3 linked regions of the Schizosaccharomyces pombe genome follow. The gene in region 1 interacts genetically with each later gene. Each region holds a gene or a part of one and is shown in the gene's direction. Other genes may lie near its edges.

What was found.
Region 2: of uve1 (region 1) and rhp26, changing one enhances a phenotype caused by changing the other (phenotypic enhancement), as found in Schizosaccharomyces pombe (3 studies listed by BioGRID).
Region 3: mutations in uve1 (region 1) and mus81 impair growth when combined (synthetic growth defect), as found in Schizosaccharomyces pombe (2 studies listed by BioGRID, with this or other methods).

The regions. Positions count from the first base shown.
Region 1 is NC_003423.3:2,837,072-2,841,540, reverse strand, and holds uve1 (endonuclease Uve1), read left to right. Parts: upstream 1-1,955; coding exon 1,956-3,755; 3' UTR 3,756-3,969; downstream 3,970-4,469. Other genes in the region: integral nuclear inner membrane protein Bqt4, read right to left, coding at 1-273, 320-373, 436-535, 575-606, 644-684; tRNA methyltransferase Ppm2, read left to right, coding at 4,158-4,469. UniProt on the Schizosaccharomyces pombe protein: Endonuclease for the repair of UV-irradiated DNA. Involved in the excision of cyclobutane pyrimidine dimers (CPD) and 6-4 pyrimidine pyrimidones (6-4PP) which forms the UV damage repair (UVDR) pathway. Also functions in oxidative damage repair in vivo.
Region 2 is NC_003421.2:1,178,432-1,184,635, reverse strand, and holds rhp26 (SNF2 family helicase Rhp26 ), read left to right. Parts: upstream 1-1,997; 5' UTR 1,998-2,078; coding exon 2,079-5,000; 3' UTR 5,001-5,704; downstream 5,705-6,204. Other genes in the region: THO complex subunit Tho1, read right to left, coding at 1-640, 696-1,586, 1,646-1,840; thiosulfate sulfurtransferase Tum1, read left to right, coding at 5,811-6,089, 6,147-6,204. UniProt on the Schizosaccharomyces pombe protein: Involved in transcription-coupled repair (TCR).
Region 3 is NC_003421.2:461,056-465,214, forward strand, and holds mus81 (Holliday junction resolvase subunit Mus81), read left to right. Parts: upstream 1-1,664; coding exon 1,665-1,760; exon of another isoform or gene 1,761-1,769; intron 1,770-1,926; exon of another isoform or gene 1,927-1,928; coding exon 1,929-3,659; downstream 3,660-4,159. Other genes in the region: PHD finger domain-containing protein Phf1, read left to right, coding at 1-447; mrpl4 (mitochondrial 54S ribosomal protein uL29m), read left to right, coding at 896-1,330; coq5 (C-methytransferase), read left to right, coding at 3,882-4,074.

The DNA.
Region 1 (4,469 bases):
GATGTCGAAGATTCAGGTTCCCCCTCAGATGTCTCTGATTTCTGCGCAGTGGGGCGTGAAGGAGTCGCATAAGTTGAAGGAGTGGAGGATGCCTCTAACAAGGCGTTAATAAACGGGGTCATGCTGTAGTCTTTGGCAAGAGCCAAGGCATCTGCAGGAGGCACCCATAGTCCAGCAACACGTTTGTCTTCAATTGGGTTTAAATTATCACGAATCCATCTCATTTCCAAGTCTTCTTCTTCTTGGGTAGCCTTAGGGAAAGCTGAACGAAACCTAATCGGGTTTAGATTTTTAGAAAAAGATATGAAAAAACGCTTACATTGACGTAGCACTAATGCTTGAATCCTTTGCCATCCTCATAAGAAAGTGAGGTCTATATTTATATACATCATTAGTATTTTTCCAAAAACAACACTGCAAAAAAAAGATAATTACACTTTAGATTCCGGATTTGTACACTTGAGACGAACAAAAGTAGCTGGTCCATCAGGAAATTCTATTACCTGAGCGCGACACTTTGGGATTAATGGTGTATCTGCTATATTAGTTTCACGTAATTTCGGGAAGCGCGTACGGTCAAGTGTATCGTCTTTATAGAGAGGGTTTCTAATATCAATTAGTCGTTTTCTTTAAATATACGAACCTTTCAGCAGGTAAAGACCTGCTTTTCTCATTCTCAGTCATGGTATTCAATTAAGGGGAAAGGTAACAATTAATCGCCGTCGTCGACGTTTGTATAATTCCTCTCTTACAACGTTTATGTAATAGCTGATTGTATAGAGCAATAGTGGTGCTACCTTAAATGATAATATCGAGTGATGCTAGGACGTACTTCGTTATAAACTATGTGCAAAGCAAGAATTACTAATTCTTTAAACACCTCGAGGTCATGTATAGTCGATGCTTATGCTGAAATGTAATGTTAATATTGTTTATTTGAAGATTCAATGTGGTTCCAATTTTTTACGCTTTTCTGTTGGGATACAAACTTAAGGAAAATATTCACACGCGGGCAGCACGCTGCCAAATGTTAAATATAAGAAGCGCTGATCATTTATTTCTGCTAGAAGTTTGTTTTGTCAATCGATCAGCCAGGTCGGCAAAAACGATGCGGCAGTAAGAAGCGTTCTTCATGCTACTGGTTGTAATAGTATTTGCAGAAAAAACCAATCGTTTCGCTGATGCAGCTATCTACGGTTCTAAAGATATACTGTATTTTATCGTAAACAATTCGCTTCGTTTACTCTACCTACATTGCGATTTCGCAATGATGGCTTCTCAACCAACTCATTAATGCTGATGGTATTAAATCTATTGTGAATTACACGGTAATTGTTTGTATATTTTTAAAGATGTCCATGTCAGCAGAAAGCAGCATTAAGACGGTTCATAATACAATATAAATGACCCGAATCCGCCTACTTCTGCTTCCCATACACACATATGCTACAGATGGTAAAATAAATTGTCGCGACTCCTTGACTTGGCCAAATTTTCATTTCAAATGTTTTTTCCTATCTGCTGTTTTTTTGATTGTTCAACTGAATCTGCAATTATTAAAGAGAAAGCAACACAATCTTTTTACTTAACATTGTATTGCTAAACTAAGCTCGATTTGAGAAACCAAAATTTCCTCGTAAAAGCAGTCCTATCTACACTGAACAATAACTGTCAAAAGTTGAATCCCTTGAGCATCAGTAATCTCATGGCCTTCCAATAAAATCATAGCGAATTTTGACGTAACAATGATACAAAACCATTTTTGGTTTACTGGGAATGAAAGAAGATTTGTCTTCACACTCGTTGATTTTGACTAGTATTGAGTCTCAATCACTTCTTGTCGATATCTCTTTTCACTTACAAGATAATAGTTGTAGGGATATAAGCAAGTTTGCGAAGGGCTTATTTCCTTCTAAATAATGTCATATTGATACTAAAATCGTTTTCATTTTTTAATGCTTAGGCTATTGAAACGAAATATTCAAATCTCTAAACGCATTGTTTTCACCATATTAAAACAAAAGGCATTTAAAGGTAATCATCCTTGTGTACCGTCGGTTTGTACCATTACTTACTCTCGTTTTCATTGTTTACCCGATACCCTTAAAAGTTTACTTCCAATGAGCTCAAAAACCACACTCTCAATGTTACCGCAAGTTAATATCGGTGCGAATTCATTCTCTGCCGAAACACCAGTCGACTTAAAAAAAGAAAATGAGACTGAGTTAGCTAATATCAGTGGACCTCACAAAAAAAGTACTTCTACGTCTACACGAAAGAGGGCACGTAGCAGTAAAAAGAAAGCGACAGATTCTGTTTCCGATAAAATTGATGAGTCTGTTGCGTCCTATGATTCTTCAACTCATCTTAGGCGATCGTCGAGATCAAAAAAACCGGTCAACTACAATTCCTCGTCAGAATCCGAATCGGAGGAGCAAATTAGTAAAGCTACTAAAAAAGTTAAACAAAAAGAGGAAGAGGAGTATGTTGAAGAAGTCGACGAAAAGTCTCTTAAAAATGAAAGTAGCTCTGACGAGTTCGAACCGGTTGTGCCGGAACAGTTGGAAACTCCAATTTCTAAACGAAGACGGTCTCGTTCTTCTGCAAAAAATTTAGAAAAAGAATCTACAATGAATCTTGATGATCATGCTCCACGAGAGATGTTTGATTGTTTGGACAAACCCATACCCTGGCGAGGACGATTGGGGTATGCTTGTTTGAATACTATTTTAAGGTCAATGAAGGAGAGGGTTTTTTGTTCACGCACCTGCCGAATTACAACCATTCAACGTGATGGGCTCGAAAGTGTCAAGCAGCTAGGTACGCAAAATGTTTTAGATTTAATCAAATTGGTTGAGTGGAATCACAACTTTGGCATTCACTTCATGAGAGTGAGTTCTGATTTATTTCCTTTCGCAAGCCATGCAAAGTATGGATATACCCTTGAATTTGCACAATCTCATCTCGAGGAGGTGGGCAAGCTGGCAAATAAATATAATCATCGATTGACTATGCATCCTGGTCAGTACACCCAGATAGCCTCTCCACGAGAAGTCGTAGTTGATTCGGCAATACGTGATTTGGCTTATCATGATGAAATTCTCAGTCGTATGAAGTTGAATGAACAATTAAATAAAGACGCTGTTTTAATTATTCACCTTGGTGGTACCTTTGAAGGAAAAAAAGAAACATTGGATAGGTTTCGTAAAAATTATCAACGCTTGTCTGATTCGGTTAAAGCTCGTTTAGTTTTAGAAAACGATGATGTTTCTTGGTCAGTTCAAGATTTATTACCTTTATGCCAAGAACTTAATATTCCTCTAGTTTTGGATTGGCATCATCACAACATAGTGCCAGGAACGCTTCGTGAAGGAAGTTTAGATTTAATGCCATTAATCCCAACTATTCGAGAAACCTGGACAAGAAAGGGAATTACACAGAAGCAACATTACTCAGAATCGGCTGATCCAACGGCGATTTCTGGGATGAAACGACGTGCTCACTCTGATAGGGTGTTTGACTTTCCACCGTGTGATCCTACAATGGATCTAATGATAGAAGCTAAGGAAAAGGAACAGGCTGTATTTGAATTGTGTAGACGTTATGAGTTACAAAATCCACCATGTCCTCTTGAAATTATGGGGCCTGAATACGATCAAACTCGAGATGGATATTATCCGCCCGGAGCTGAAAAGCGTTTAACTGCAAGAAAAAGGCGTAGTAGAAAAGAAGAAGTAGAAGAGGATGAAAAATAAAAATCCGTCATACTTTTTGATTTATGGCATAATTTAGCCATCTGCATTTTCAATGCAATCATTTTTGTCTTTTTGGCTCTAGATATTTCCGAAAAAATTCACTAGAGTACTATTTATTTTCTTATTTGCTTACTGTCCATGCTAATATTTAATCTAAAAGTTATTGTTTTATTTACAATCAAATTTCAATAAAACATTTCAATTAAATATAAAATTTAAACTAGTAATTTACGATTTACACGAATTATGTAAAACTTTAAGCAATTCCGGTCATATTGGTATTGTCGTTTTCTGATCAATATTATAATTCCTTTCCACTAATCTTCGTAAGCTTGTGTAACTTAACTGCAAAAATTCTCAAGGCTTCGAAAGATTAAATGAGCTTCTCTTTATTCATATACAATGTCAAACAAAAATCAAAGGAAAACTAAGTCAAAAGATAGAGAAGTTCGTAAAACCAATGACAGCTCAATTCTTTCAAAAGCCTCAGTTGAAAAATGTGGATATCCAGGTTTTACCGTAGGACATTCTTATTATCAACCGTTTATACAGAAATCACCTAGAAGATCGCCAAGCGTAAATAGAGGTTATTGGACACGATGCATGGCTATTCGATTTGCAGTGTACCAGTTTTTGAAGAATAAAACCGGCAAAAGAAAGGCAATAGTGAATTTAGGTGCAGGATACGACCCCTTAGCCTTTCAACTTTTAAGT
Region 2 (6,204 bases), on another chromosome or scaffold:
TGTGCTTGACATTCTCCCTCTTTTTCATTTCCTCTAATAACTCTTCTCCTTCTATAATATGAATATCAAAAGCTGGAGGAATAGAGGGTGTAATTTTCGATGTAGTCGGTTTGCCCTCAATGGAATTACAAAGCAATTCAACATCACCTAGTCCGGTATCCGAAAAGTTTTGAAGATGGCTATTAATTGCTGAACGAAAGGCACGCCATGTCTTCGTTGCCAAGGACTGTTCATGGAAATGCTTGTCATCATCTCTAACTGCCTCTTCTATTTCAAACTTGTCTGCTTTAACGCCAGATAAAAAGCTCTCAGGTGATGGAATCCGGTACCTTTCCTCCTTTTTGAGATCATCAAGGGTATTTTCTCCAGCCTGCTCCCAGAGCCTCGACAAAGCAGCATTTCCCATAGCAAATCTTAATTTCACTGGGGTGTTTGTAAGCTTTTTTAAGCCTTCGACAGCTTCATCAATAGCCGCTTTATCTACTAGGGGTTTTTCAAGGGAAGGGCAGCCAAGCCCTTTCCATAATTTCCAATTACCCTCAATATGTATAATTTCTTTAATGGTTCTTTGCACAGAACCACACCGGGCAGTATGTAAGAAACTATATGCTTCTTTGGATAATTCATTTAACTTTGAGGTCTACATATTAGCAATCAATAAAATCAGTTTTTTTCGAGTCTAAAAAAGAACATACATCTTCGTCAGACAAAATAACAATGGGAATTACCGCCTTATTTGTCCATTTTTCAAGAGTTCTCCTTTCAATTCGTTCTTTAGAATGGTCAAGCAAAAAGTCGAAAATAATAATTAATTGTAAAATAGCCTGTAACCGGAAATCTTCATCTGAAAGTTGGTATTCAAAAAGCGACCGAGAATATATATATTTAGAAGGAAATCCTTTATCCAAAGTTATATATTTTTCAGAAAGTAATGAGCTAGAGTTTGGATCAATTGTAGGGTTTGACTTCCCATTGAAGAACGTATTTTGTAATATAGATTCGAATGCCTGTATTGCAGAACCAGCTGCATCTATAAACTTAGGTAAGGTATCACTTGCTAGTAATTTAGGAGGGTTGGAGCACATACACTGCAAATCCCAATAAGCAGTAAATAAGGTATTAAGTTTTTTGTGATATGAGAGGTCTGTTCGGTCCGAAATGGGTGTGGATGGTGGTGACAGTTCTACCTTCCCAAAAGAATGAACAGTATTATAATCTCCACGTAAATTGGCTCCACTCCGTTCTTCAGGGGGGAAAGCCTTACTTAGCAGAATATCGATCCGCCCACAAAAAGATGAATTTTCTTGCCGAGAAAGACGCCGGAGTAATTCATTTGATATCCGAAGCAAAACGGGTCCTCTTCCACGATTGCTGACAATACCTTTCATCAAGCTAGGTCTGGTTTCAAAATATTCATATAATTTGGCGCATTCGTTGACGGTGTGAATGTCCATCAGCTCTTCCAAGATTAGAAAAGGCAACAGGTGATCACAGAAGCTTTCGTTAATTTCGTTCCCTATTACTAAGAGATCCAAAATCGCAAATAAACATTTTAATCGCTCCTCCAATCCAATCTCACTTTTGCGCTACACGAAAATAACAATTAGTAACTTAAGGAAAACTTCATTATGGAAAAAGCACATACTGCTGTTTCATAACAGCAAAATCTTATTGCCGTTTCAAACTCAGTTGAGTTATGAAAACTCTCAACAATCGAAGGCCATAATTCTTTGATGAATAATTCATATTCAGAACAAAGTGGACTCTTATCCAGTTCTTTTGCCTTTTCTAATGGATATGTATTATAAAAAGCTTCAATTAAACCCTTTTGCACCTCCATTACTTTAAAAGTCTGCGAATATACAATCCGCGCGCAGAAACGTGAGTTTATCTAGCATTGACAATGTCATTTAGAAATAAGGATTTATTCGTTATTGCTTTGTGTGGTTCATTGCTTCTCGCTATAACAGGAGCAGCATGAAGGAATATGTAATTTTGCCCTTAACCAAACAACAAAGTATTTTCTTAAATTTGCAGTGAGTCTGAAAATGAGACTTTATTTAAGAAATTGATAGGATATGAGTGTCAATGAAGATCTATCCCATTTAGGGGTTTTTTCGGTTGACCAAGAGAATTTGGAACGCGATGTTACGAATACTGCTAGTGAGTACATTGCACATGAAAGTCGAGAGATCGAAAAGAAGAGACTTCAAAAAGTCAGGAAAGAAATATCTTCTGTAAAAGAAAAAATACGTCGCCTTGATGAGCGTATAGACAGTCGACTTACAAAAATAAGTGTCAAGGAGAACTTCCGCAAACAATTATCTAAATTCCGAGACACTCTTCAAAGTTTACAATCAGACGAAAATGATATTAAGAGAAGACTTAATAACGAAGATTCGGCAAATGCCCCTGGTATAGGTGCATTTTCGACTGAAGAATTGGAAAGACAAGAGCTCATCCGTACTGGTAAGGTTACACCGTTTCGAAATCTCTCTGGACTACAAAAAGAAGTTGATTTTGATGATGAATCTAGCATTCGTGAGGCTGTTATAAAGTCTGAAGGAACATACTATGAAACGGCACCTCATTTGAGTTCGGAGCCGTCAAATATTGATCATGGGATTATTCCAAGAGACGAAAAAGATGAGTACGTAACTGTGGATGCTGTTACGGAGAAAGTAGTAACTGCCGCTATAGATGATGGAGATGATTTGGTATATCGACAAAGGCTTAATGCTTGGTGTGCGAATCGTAAGGAATTACGAGATCAGGCCTCAGCATCTGAAAACAATAAAGATAGAGGAGAGTTTGAAGGTAAAGATGAGTGGTTACTACCTCATCCTTCCAAAAAAGGACAGACTTTTGAGGGTGGATTTACCATCCCAGGTGATATTCGCCCACATCTTTTCCGTTATCAAGTCACTTGCGTACAATGGTTATGGGAACTCTATTGTCAAGAGGCCGGAGGAATCATTGGTGATGAAATGGGACTAGGAAAAACTATTCAAATAGTATCTTTCCTTTCGTCTTTGCATCACTCTGGCAAATTTCAAAAGCCTGCACTTATCGTTTGTCCAGCGACTTTAATGAAGCAGTGGGTTAATGAGTTTCATACATGGTGGGCTCCATTACGTGTTGTTGTTCTTCATGCTACTGGCAGCGGACAGCGTGCTTCACGCGAAAAGAGACAGTATGAATCTGACGCTTCTGAAAGTGAAGCGGAAGAAAGCAAAACCTCCATAAAATTAAGAGGTGCTTCAAGTTCATTCCACAGATACGCTAAGAACTTAGTTGAAAGTGTCTTCACTAGAGGCCACATTTTAATTACAACATATGCTGGTTTAAGGATATATGGTGATTTGATTTTACCACGGGAATGGGGTTATTGTGTTTTGGATGAAGGGCACAAAATACGAAACCCAGATTCTGAAATATCTATTTCGTGTAAGCAAATCCGTACTGTGAATAGGATTATCCTCTCAGGGACTCCGATCCAGAACAACCTTACCGAGCTTTGGAATTTATTTGATTTTGTATTTCCTGGAAGATTGGGTACATTACCGGTATTTCAAAATCAATTTGCCTTACCTATTAATATTGGTGGTTATGCCAATGCTTCAAATGTTCAAGTGCAAACCGCTTATAAATGCGCCTGCATGCTTCGAGATTTAATTTCTCCTTATTTACTTAGAAGAATGAAGCTTGACGTTGCTGCAGATTTACCTAAGAAGTCCGAACAAGTATTGTTCTGTAAGCTGACTCCTTTACAAAGGAAAGCTTACCAAGATTTTTTGCAAGGCTCTGATATGCAAAAGATCTTGAACGGAAAGCGTCAAATGCTTTATGGAATTGATATACTACGAAAAATTTGTAATCATCCAGATCTTGTAACTCGAGAGTACTTGTTACATAAAGAAGATTACAACTATGGTGATCCTGAAAAGTCTGGCAAACTGAAGGTTATTAGAGCATTACTAACTTTGTGGAAAAAACAAGGACATAGAACTCTTCTATTTTCTCAGACTCGCCAAATGCTCGACATACTGGAAATAGGATTAAAGGATTTGCCGGATGTTCATTACTGTCGCATGGATGGTAGCACATCTATTGCTTTAAGACAAGATTTGGTGGACAACTTTAATAAAAATGAGTATTTTGATGTGTTTCTTCTAACTACTCGTGTTGGTGGATTAGGAGTCAATTTGACTGGTGCTGACAGGGTAATTCTTTTTGATCCTGATTGGAATCCCTCAACGGATGCTCAAGCACGTGAACGTGCTTGGAGACTGGGCCAAAAGAAAGATGTAGTAGTTTATCGGTTGATGACTGCTGGAACTATTGAAGAAAAAATTTATCATCGTCAAATCTTTAAGCAGTTTCTGACTAACAAAATTTTGAAAGATCCAAAACAAAGAAGGTTTTTTAAAATGACGGACTTGCACGATTTGTTTACGTTAGGCGATAACAAGACTGAGGGCACTGAGACAGGCAGCATGTTTTTGGGATCTGAACGAGTACTTCGAAAGGATAATTCCTCAAGAAATGGCAATGAAGCTGAAGATATTCCAGCTCGTGACCGAAAAAAGCACAAAATTCACGACAAAGGTAAAAAAGTTAACAGCTCCAAAGTGTTTGAAAAAATGGGGATTGCATCGATGGAAAAGTATAAACCACCGCAAGAGTCAAATGTTACTAAGACAAACTCTGATTCGACTTTAGGGGATGATTCCGTCCTTGATGATATTTTTGCTAGTGCTGGTATTCAGAGTACTTTAAAGCACGACGATATCATGGAAGCCTCCCAGACTGAAAGCATATTGGTTGAAAAAGAAGCGACGCGTGTTGCTAATGAAGCTCTGCGTGCAGTTTCATCTTTTCGGCGACCTCCTCGTCAACTTATACCTCCGCAGCAATCTACTAATGTTCCTGGTACTTCTAAACCATCAGGTCCGATTACTTCAAGCACTCTTCTTGCCCGACTAAAACAGAGACGATGAATTAATTAGAAGAAGTTCGCCTTAGAGTAAGCTGTATCCATTAAAATTTCGGACCCAATCTTGTACCCATTTATTTATTTATTATTATTTCCCTTTATTTTGTACATTAAGTTTTTCATGATTTAAGCTTTATTTATGGATTTATTGATAGACACGCGATCATTTCATTTTTTGAATGGGAATTATCCTTATTACTAGGTGGGTTTACTTTGCTTGAAAAGTATTGGAAATGTCAATTCCATGTTGAGGATAGGGCTGTCGGAATTACTTTGATCATTTTTCCCTTTTGTTAAAGTACTTGGTTAAAGTGTGTTAATGTTATTGTAAGCAAGCACTTGACAAATTCGCTTTACCTGAGACCTAAAATTAGCGTTAATAACTTTCTAGTTGGCTGAGAAAAGTATGAACACTCAAAGCGGCTTAGTTAGTGGTATGTGCAACCCGTGCAACCCTTTTTGTAGCTATAAATTACTACGTTCTTTTGTCAACGTTATTAGAATGCTAGAGTCATGTTTGTTGACAGTGTCAGAAAAGACCTTTTAATTAGAAAACTAGTGGTTCAAAAATTTTGATGTCTTGGTGCTTATTGGCGAACTTATTACTAGTACTTTTTCATTTTATATAAATTAATATTTGTATATAAGCAATGCAACCGCATCTAACCATTTTTACACACATATTTGGTTTTACCAAAAACTTGACTCGTTAATTAATTTTGGGAGCTGCAACCAACGCTGTACTTTCGTAAGATTACTTGAAATTCGAAGTCTATGTAGTTCGCTGAAACAAAATAAGACTCTGCTTCAAACAATGTTCTCTGTTGGTAAAAAAATCTCTTTTATTTTGCCTATTAAGGGCGTATTGCAAAAATTAAAGGATAATGCTCAAAAAACCGTTCTCTTGGATGCTACTTGGTACTTGCCAACAGACACTAAAAACGGAAAGAAGGAGTATTTAGAAAGTCGTCTTCCAGGTGCTCAATACTTTGATATAGATGAGGCTAAAGATCACAAAAATCCCCTTCCTCATATGCTTCCTCCAGCTGACGAATTCGCCTCTTACGTTGGAAAATTAGGAATTGACAGAAACGTAAGTAGTAGTTTAGAAATTCCAATTACTTAGTCTTCAATTTTACTAATATTTTAGACCAATGTTATCATTTATGACCGAAAAGGGTTTTTTTCGTCTCCTAGGGTTTTCTGGA
Region 3 (4,159 bases), on another chromosome or scaffold:
GTTAGTTCTGAACGCCAACAAATATCTTTACAAGAGCGACTTCATGCTAAACAAGATGAAGCTCCCTCTGATGAGCCTGCACCTGTCCCCTATACCGCAAGTTATGTTGCGAATTCTGGAACCTTATACGACTATCCAACGTTAATACGGTTAGCTATTCGTAACACCCTCTCACCTTCCAAAGATGAAATATTTAACTGGCTTGCTCAAAACGTACCATTGTTACCAACTTTTCACGACAGCGCTTCCGAGGCCATTCGTTGGATGGTAAATAAAGGTCAACTGGTCCGTTCCGGTAGCATCTATCAAATAGCAACAGTCGAAGAATACCCTCACCTCCAACCCTCTTTACTTCCTACTTTTCAACGAAACCGTAAGGTACCTAAATTGGTGCCTGTCTCTTTCCCCACCGATGATCCTCAAAATTTATGTGCTACTGTTTTATGAAACTGAACAAATTTTTCTAAATGTATAGACAAAAAAAATTTCTTTACTTCCCGTTTTTAATTAAACGGTTGCGTCCCGTTAATCTCGAAATAAATTTATAAGCGGTCGAAAGCAATGTATCATTACACCATGTATTAGCTGCAAATCAAAGTACTTTAGTATTTCCTTCATGGATTCAAACTTTTCACTCGATAACAAATCTAGGGAAAATACATAAATCGCCCTACACACTTTCTGTTTACATTATAAACTTTTCGTTTGGAATGTTTCCTCGCCATGAAATCTTAAAATAAAATAAAATAAGGAAATGAACAATTTCTCAATTTAGCAATAATTAAGAAAGTCAATGAAGTATAATAAAAAATAATTATTTTTAAAGTATGACTTACAACCATTATTATCGGTCAATGTCAGGGTGTTACAGCGCACCTTCTACTTACCACCAAAGATGAGGTCCACGTTGGCTAGCGCTCAGAAAGCAGCCGTACGTATTCCAAAGGGCTTTGTATTTCCTGTTCCAAAAGTAAAAAGTGCTCCTAAGGTTTCAGACACGCACCCTTTGTGGAATTTCTTTCGGGACAAGCAAGCCCTTCCACCACCATCGGAAGAGGCTAAATTCGGTAGAGCATGGGCTGCAGAAGAGCTTCGTTGGAAGTCTTTTAATGATCTACATGGACTTTGGTACAATTGTCTCCGAGAGAAGAACCTATTGTTCACACAAAGGGCTGAAATGAAACGCTTACAGTTGACTATTCCCAAAGCCTCAAATGAGCGTGTACTTGCAGTCAATAAAACCATGGCAGCTATCAAATTTGTCCTATGGGAACGCCAAAGAGCATATACTTCTGCCAAGCAGCTCGAGAAACAAAAGGGATCTTCTTAAACCCCTTCCTTTTAGGAAAACAGAAAATCATCCAAGTATGGCTTTATTATGATCTAAAGCTTCATCATTTCACAAACTTTCTAAAAATATACCCTAATACACGAGAAACTGTTTTATAATGATGATAATGATTTTTTATTTTGTTCACCTATAATTGTTTTCTTTATTTTGTTTATACTGATCATAAAATCTCGGTTGTCCCGGCAACCATGCTAATGTCTTTACACGAAATTTAGGAAATCGCATTCTATCCACATCCATTTGTTTAGACTTTTGTTTCGTGTGACAATCGATAATTTGAATGAAATAGTTTTTTTCTTTGTTTTTCGGATCCATGGATTGTGGAAATCCGCTGTTTTTACAATGGATACAGGAGTGGATGGAAGAGTCGACGCGTCGCTTCCCCAAGTCATATCAAACCTGGAGAAAGGTAGGAAATTTATTGGATTAGTGAAAAACTCTTTGAAAAATAAATAATTTAAATATTAAATTAATAATGACTGTAATTTTTCGAAAGCTTTTATAGCTTCGTACTCCATAAATATCATAACAATCACTGTTGTTGTTGTTTTAAATAAGAAACCGTGCTAATAATTAGGCCTACGATTCAATGAAAAGTTGCCCCATCACATTTCATCGTCCTTCTCAGGCATTGGCACTGAAGGGAATTGGCCCTACGATTTGTGCCAAGCTAGAAAAGAAATGGAACGCTTACTGTTTGGAAAATAATATTCCAATTAGCACGCACAATGAACAGAATGATTCTCATGTCAATGCTAATAAATCGTCTTCTGAGACTTCTTCTGAAAAGCCTCGAAGCGTTAAAAAACCGACTACAAGAAAGAGAAAGGTCTATGTTCCGAGCTATCGTTCTGGTGCATATTCAATTCTTTGCGCTCTTTATATGCTTAATAAACACGAATTCGCTACAAAGCCTCAAATTGTTACGATGGCCCAACCGTATTGTGATTCGTCCTTTGGATCTGCTACAGACCGAAACATGCGTTATACTGCATGGAGTGCTATGAAGACTTTGATCACAAAAAATTTAGTTTACCAGACAGGTCATCCCTCTAAGTACTGCTTGACCGACGATGGTGAAGAAGTTTGCATACGTTTGGCAAAAGTAGACGATTCCTTTCAACGGAAACATACTGTATCAAACTTTTCTGTCTCTAAATCCGATGATCATGATTCCTCTTTATGCCAACCTCCAAATTTTGTTACATCAATCAATAAAGCAGGAAGTTCTTCAGACCACGGAGGTGAACTACATGTTACTTACTGTCCGGTAGATCATAATGAAGTTTCTGATGGTGTTGAAACCGATATAGATGTTGATCAGGTGGATTCGTTGACCGGAATTCATGATCACCATATCATTAACAATGAGCAGTTGATTGACTTGACGGAACAAGAAAAAAAGCAACCAAATGAAAGCAATTTGTCTAACTTAAAAATCGAGACGGTATTATTCTCAAACTGTACGGTTTTTCTTCTGATTGATACTCGAGAAATACGTTCTCCCTTGGATCGCAATCTTATTATCGATAAACTGACTAATGACTTTGGTGTCAATTGTCAGGTACGATCATTAGAATTGGGAGATGCTTTATGGGTTGCAAGGGATATGGAAAGCGGTCAAGAAGTTGTGTTGGATTTTGTCGTTGAAAGGAAAAGATATGATGATTTAGTTGCTTCCATTAAGGACGGAAGATTTCACGAACAAAAGGCACGTCTAAAGAAGAGCGGAATACGTTCAGTCACCTACATTTTGGAGGAATCCTCTTATGATGAAAGTTTCACGGAATCAATTCGTACAGCTGTTAGCAATACCCAAGTCGATCAATTATTTCATGTCCGTCATACGCGATCACTTGAACACAGCGTAAGTTTGCTTGCTGAAATGACAAAGCAAATTAACCTGTTTTATGAGAAACGTAAAACCCTCGCTGTCATTCCCGATTTGTCGATAGAAGCCAAAACTTATGAGTCGTTACGAGAGCAACTTCTAAAAATTGATCCCTCAACTCCTTACCACATATCATACCATGCATTTTCCTCTGTCCTCTCGAAGTCTTCTACTTTGACCGTGGGGGATATTTTTATTCGAATGCTTATGACTATAAAAGGTATAAGTGCTTCAAAAGCCATCGAGATTCAGAAGAAATATCCAACATTCATGCATTTATTTGAGGCGTACGAAAAGTCATCATCTAGCCAGGAAAGAAACTTATTACTGAATAAGACTTGTCAAGGCTATGGTTTTCAAACAATAGGGCCAGCACTTTCCGCCAAGGTCGCAAGCGTTTTCTTTCCAGAATCTTGAGCCTTTGAACTTTTATTTATTTATGATTCATAATATTTATTCAATTTTCTTATCATTTCCCATATATTTAATTTACCTTTGCTTTACCATCGGAAATTGCGTATGTTAGTGTATTGCGGTATATAGGTAGCATCAGATTCCCTTCAAATCGTGAGTTTCTACCTAGCACTATCCATAAACAAAACCGTTACACTTGGTATTCGTTTTTGAAACTGCTGTATCATGTCACGTTTAAGAGCTCCTGTTGCTAAATTTTTAGCTGATGGATTGAAAGGAATCAGGTCTACAGCTTTGGCTGGCTCTCGATTGTCTAATTGTCGCTATACCAGTACTAGCTCGAAAGATACTGATACCTCAAGCCACATGACTCATTTTGGATTTAAAGACGTTCCGGAAGATGAAAAAGAGCACCTTGGTATGTATGGAAGAACTGGTTTGCTAGGACATGTGATTTGATTGTAAATCATAACATTTTGCATTTTGCATTTACTGAAGAAATT